Tribolium castaneum: one gene and its partner. The protein of the gene in region 1 interacts with the protein of each later gene in a biochemical or structural test. Links are inferred from orthologs where the notes say so. Each region holds a gene or a part of one and is shown on either strand. Other genes may lie near its edges.

Region 1 (3,470 bases):
CTCAAAAACAAGACGCCAAACTTATGTCATTACATAATCTTAACTCAGAAACAAAAAAATAAAATACAAAAAAGTTTATTTTTATTAATTTTTCGATTTTAAAATATTTTTCACATCAAAATATTCAAACAAGAATTTTTGTGGTGAATTTAAAAAAATAAAAAACTACAGAAACGGTCAATTTTTGTTTAAAAAATTGTCTTCAGTCTCATTTACATTTAACAAAAAAATAATAAACAAAATAATGAGGGGAAAAATCATAAAACCAAATAATAAATTAATTATTAAGTATTATCCTACTTAATTTTCACTCTTAAAACAAATACAAAATACATAAAAATAACAACATTTATGAACTAAATTTCACAAAATAAGTTAACTGTCGACGTAATTAAGTGATTTTTCGACTTAAGTGTATTTTAATTTTCGCTTTTAAGCGTGTTTGATTTTGACAACTTAGATTTTTATGGTCCAAAAAATATTAGAGCCATTATAGATGCAAAAAAAGCTTAAAACTTGCTTATAGTCAAGAATCATAAAACAAATAAAAACTTTCCTCAAAGCTTGTCATAAATAAAACTGCACATGTCTGAGTATAAAGTTGAAACTCCTACTAAATCTTGAAGAAATCTAATGAAACAAATGTCTTACAAAACCGCACTTAATAAAATATGTGCAATGATTGAATTTTCGATAAAATAGACGCAATAGTTAATGGGTAAGTACTTTAAAAATGCTATATTAATAACTACTAATAAATTCACTAATTTAAAAAAAATATGAACACTACAAAAATCTTAAATTTTTGTTTAAAAATTCTCATGACTGACTATTAATTTTATTTTTTTGTTAATTTCATTCAAATTAAAAAAAAAAACCACAGCAATTTCACTCTGTATAAAATAAGATGACCAAACCATAATAAACAAAATAATGACGATAAAAAAAGACAGGTAAAAAAGACTTTTATTTCTAGTAATAGGTCCCTAATATTATTATTATTGGTTACGTACTTTTAAAATGCTATTCTCGTGGTGAATAAAAAAATGTAAACACTACAAAAATCTTAAATTTTTGTATAAAAATTCTCTTGACTGACTATTAATTTTATTTTTAAGTTAATTTCACTCAAATTAAAAAAAAAAATCCACAGCAATTTCACTCTGTATAAAATAAGATGACCAAACCATAATAAACAAAATAATGACGATAAAAAAAGACAGGTAAAAAAAGACTTTTATTTCTAGTAATAGATCCCATAATATTATTATTATTGGTTACGTACTTTTAAAAATCTTAAATTTTTGTTTAAAAATTCTCTTGACTGACTATTAATTTTATTTTTAAGTTAATTTCATTCAAATTTAAAAAAAAATCCACAGCAATTTCACTCTGTATAAAATAAGATAACCAAACCATAATAAACAAAATAATGATGATAAAAAAAGACAGGTAAAAAAAGACTTTTATTTCTAGTAATAGATCCCATAATATTATTATTATTGGTTACGTACTTTTAAAAATCTTAAATTTTTGTTTAAAAATTCTCTTGACTGACTATTAATTTTATTTTTAAGTTAATTTCATTCAAATTCAAAAAAAAATCCACAGCAATTTCACTCTCTATAAAATAAGATGACCAAACCTTAATAAACAAAATAGTGACGATGAAAAAAGACAGGTAAAAAAAAACTTTTATTTCTAGTAATAGGTCCCATAATATTATTATTATTGGTTACGTACTTTTAAAATGATATTCTCGTGATGAATAAAAAAAATGTAAACACTACAAAAATTTTAAATTTAATTTTAATTAAACAATTGACAGAGTATTTTTATTTTTAAGCATAATAAACAAAATAATGGGAAGAAAAAAACATAATAAAAAATCAATAACAAAAGACTTGTATTTCTCATACCTTGATCCAGATCCGTACCGACGTTGGAATATGCCTGGCCGCCTGCGCAATCACCGCCTTGGCCGTATCCTGGGGATTAATCCTGGCCGCCTCCAGCCACAAATCCTCACTTTGTGGATTAACCTCACACCCTTTCATAATCAAATTCCTCGCCGCTTGCACCTTCCCCGTAACTTCCTCCAGCCTGGCACTAGCAATCCACGCCGGAGGATGATTCGGATTCGTCTCCCTCACCGATTTAAGCAACAATCTCGCCTTCTTAATATCATTAATATCCCCACCGTAGGTGGGAATCATTGATTGCAAATCGGTCAAATACCCTTTCGGGTCCACAACTGTTTGTCCAGTCACCGAATCGGACACTTGCGACAACTTAACATTCATGAGAGTGTTGCGGGCTTGTCCGATTTTTCGCAAGTCCATGTCTCCGGTCGGGGTGAGCATTCCGGGGGTGGCAACACCCGGAACCATGCTTGCTAGCCCCGAACTGGGGTCAATGGTGGTGTTGGATTCGCCCCCCAGGTTCCGGGCTAGGACGCTGTCGGGCAAAGGGATGAATTTTTCGGCTCGGGGATTGCGCTGTTTCCGGTTACGGGCGTCCCCCACGTCTGGGACGCTCCGCCATTCGTCGTCGGAGACGTTCTGCAGGTCGCGTTTCAAGTCGGAGAACTGTTGCTGGATTTTTGGCCTAACAAGAAAATTCTTTTAACCAAAGTGATAGAAAAAAACTTTAAAAAATATTTTATGTAACTTAGTTAATTTTTACTTTTTTAATTTCTTTTTTATTCATCTCTTTTTCAATGTAAACACGTCTGAAAATGATAGTTACCAACGAAACATGTTCCTTTTATAATTTTTAACATCTTTAATAGCTACAACTGTGTGGAAGTTCACAAAATTTTTTTCATCTTTTTGTTAAGTTATCAGCAATCCACTTAGAAAAAAATGAATCCAGCTTAACATAAAATTATTTTATATAATCCAAGGATGGTTTTAGGTTTAATTTTAAAACTGTCGTATCAGAACAGATTTTTTTTTATTTTGGGATGAATATCATAATTCACTGTTAATTTCAGTCCTATCAAAAAAAATTAATCAAAGAGTAGTTCTACAAGCGTCTAGCAGGAGCAAAATTTGCTATGCCCGAGGCCCATTGGAAAATATTTGCTTTGGGAGCAAAAATCTTTATGAATTCGTACAATTCATTGATACTGGCTAATAAAAAAAGTAAAAATTTCTACAAGAGTCCAGTCGATAGTTTCCGGTATGCCATAAAAAACATAGAATTGTTGACGTGTCTCTTCAAGTTTTTACAGTGTACAGTGTATGTGAGAAATGCCAAGAAAAAAATGTATAGAGAAATTTAATTATTAATTCAAATGTCAGACCGTTAGATACCTTTTTCATTCTGCTACATTTTGTAAAAATTCACAAAATCTGTTGATAAGTATTAAAAAAACTCCAAAAAAAAAATATTCTAAGAAGCAATAGATCATTTACGACCAATTTTAATCTCAAAATAGAACTTGTCATGAAAATGCTTTGCGGAAA
Region 2 (2,492 bases), on another chromosome or scaffold:
AAATACAAAATTAATTAATTTTTTTTAATATCTGAACTTTTTTTAATCAGTCAATCAAATAGCAAATTCAGTTCTAGCACAAATTCTCTAAAAATGCAAGATAATTCTGAAAATCACATGGGAAAACCTGAAACAATTCTTAGTAATGTCACCAAACATGTACTAGGTATTAAATGTTCTCATTTATATTCTGAGATATGTTAAAAAATCAGCCTGTATTTATTTATGAAGTTTTAAAAAAAAAAGCGTAGCTATTTTGCACTTTTTTCTACAATATTAGTTGTACGTGTACGTTGTCGCTGACTTAAAAACTTTTTCTGTAGATATTTGCATTAGGTACTCAGGCTTGTTCTCTGTTTACTTATTGTGAATTTAATATAATATAATTTGAAACTATTAAAAACATCTTAAAACTCATTATTTCAACCATAAAAAATCAGAACCTTTAGTTTGCAATTTATTTAAAAAATAAAGCTTGTAACAAAAAAATTCTAAAATTCTGTCGTTCTGGGCTATAGCCCATTTTCTCCTTATGTAAATATGCGACTGCTAATAAGTAATGAGAGCATAAGAGAAATTCGTATTTGCACGTATTTGGAGGACATCTTTTTTGAAACACACAGTATAAACAAATTTTAAAGTAGCTTGTGCCATCTCTTGGATAGTTGCCAAACATACCATTTCAATTTTACAGTTTTTCTTAACTTTTTGGGTTTTTTACAATATATTTTTGAGTTGTTTATGTTTTAGTAATAAGCGTGGTGAAAAATTTGCGGTAAAAAAAGCTGATTATGATTATTTCCAAAAAAAACAAATATTAAAAAATTTAACCGTGGATACAAACCAAAAGTGCAGATCGGTTTTGAGAGCATGCGTGTTGTTTGTTTTGCATTTGTCAAAAATGTCAAAACGAAAATTCAACGAAGGCGATTTTTCGCAAAATAAGCGGCGCCAGGTGAAGTTTAACGCAAAAAAACATTCCTTGGATTCGGACGAAGAGGACGATTACGATGAGACCGCTGAAGAGCTCAACGCCGACGACATCGAGGGCGAAGAGGAGGGAATTTCGCGTCAGGTTGAAGGGGTCCGGATGACCGCCTTCAACATGAAAGAGGAGATGGAAGAAGGGCATTTCGACAAAGAGGGCCACTTTATTTGGAACAACGAGAAGGAAATACGGGATAATTGGTTGGACAACATCGACTGGCATAAAGTCAACAGTGACGATAAGTACCAGTTGGACCCCAACGAGAAAGGCTTGGGGGCCGAGAGTGATTCTGAGTCGGAAGCTGAGGATTTCGATGAGGTCGGTTTGTACAAAAAGATGCTCAACTACATGAAACCCAAAGAAACGGTCAACAAGTGTTTGAGGCGGTTAGGGGGCGATTTGAAGTTGTCCAGTGTCGAGAGACTGAAGCGCAAGAAGGCAGGGACTTTGAATTCGAATCAGGATGTGGCGGACATGACCGAGATCGCGAATAGTATATTAACGAAGACGGGGAACATGAACGTATACCAGGAGACTTTTGAAGAAATTACCAAAAAAATTGACGACCGAACGAAACCGAAAAACAGTGAGCCTGTTCTGGACATGTATGCTGACGACTTCGGCGACAAGGAGAAGGAGAAGATGGAGACGGCGTCAGTGTCAGGTAAACCAGAGCAGTTAATGTGGGAATTTAAGTGGGACCAAGACAAGGACCAAGTCGAGGGTCCGTACGACACCTCACAAATGTTAAAGTGGTCCAAAGAAGGGTACTTCAAGACGGGAGTGTGGGTGCGTAAGTGTGGCGAACAATCCAACTTTTACACCTCGAACCGGATAGACTTCGAGCTGTATGACTAACAGTGTTATAAAAATTTTATTATCAATATACATAAAAAGTCAAGCAATTTGCTTAAAGGCACTTAATTACATTCCGTTGTAAGCCGGGCCGCCACCTCCTTCGGGAACCACCCAGTTGATGTTCTGACTCGGGTCTTTAATATCGCAAGTTTTGCAATGTATACAGTTCTGGGCGTTGATTTGCAGCCTTTGACCGTCCCCACTTTCAAGCGGGACGAATTCGTACACTCCTGCTGGACAAAACCGGCCTTCAGGCCCGTCATAAATGCCCAAATTTTGCTTAACAGGAACGGTATCGTCCTTCAGGGTTAGATGCGGGGGTTGGTCACCTTCATGATTGGTCCCAGTCAGCGCAACGGAAGAGAGGAGATCGAAGCTGATTTTACCGTCAGGCTTCGGATAATCGATAGGTGTACAGTCTTTGGCCGGTTTGAGTCTCTTGTAATCGGGATCGCCATGTTTGAAAGTCCACGGTTCCATCCCCCCAATCATTATGGAAAATCCACTGTACATCACTCCTCCATACATCCCCAAAGGATTATGGAAGCTGGGTCGTACGTTCCTCACCCGTTTCAAGTCTTTCCAAATGAAACTGTTCTTAACTTTGTCTGGATAGCTCTTCGGTTCAAAACCTTCAGTTTCTTGT

The links. The genes of interacting proteins can lie anywhere in the genome.
Region 2: the proteins of Prp6 (region 1) and holn1 form a complex in vitro, tested with the Homo sapiens proteins (2 studies listed by BioGRID and IntAct). The link is inferred for Tribolium castaneum from reciprocal best matches to the Homo sapiens genes PRPF6 and CD2BP2.

Annotation. Positions count from the first base shown.
Region 1 is NC_087399.1:6,879,869-6,883,338, reverse strand, and holds part of Prp6 (pre-mRNA-processing factor 6), read right to left. Parts: intron 2,608-3,470; coding exon 1,920-2,607; intron 1-1,919. UniProt on the Homo sapiens protein: Involved in pre-mRNA splicing as component of the U4/U6-U5 tri-snRNP complex, one of the building blocks of the spliceosome.
Region 2 is NC_087402.1:7,512,544-7,515,035, reverse strand, and holds holn1 (CD2 antigen cytoplasmic tail-binding protein 2 homolog), read left to right. Parts: upstream 1-863; 5' UTR 864-901; coding exon 902-1,846; 3' UTR 1,847-1,893; downstream 1,894-2,492. Other genes in the region: Etf-QO (electron transfer flavoprotein-ubiquinone oxidoreductase, mitochondrial), read right to left, coding at 1,913-2,492. UniProt on the Homo sapiens protein: Involved in pre-mRNA splicing as component of the U5 snRNP complex that is involved in spliceosome assembly.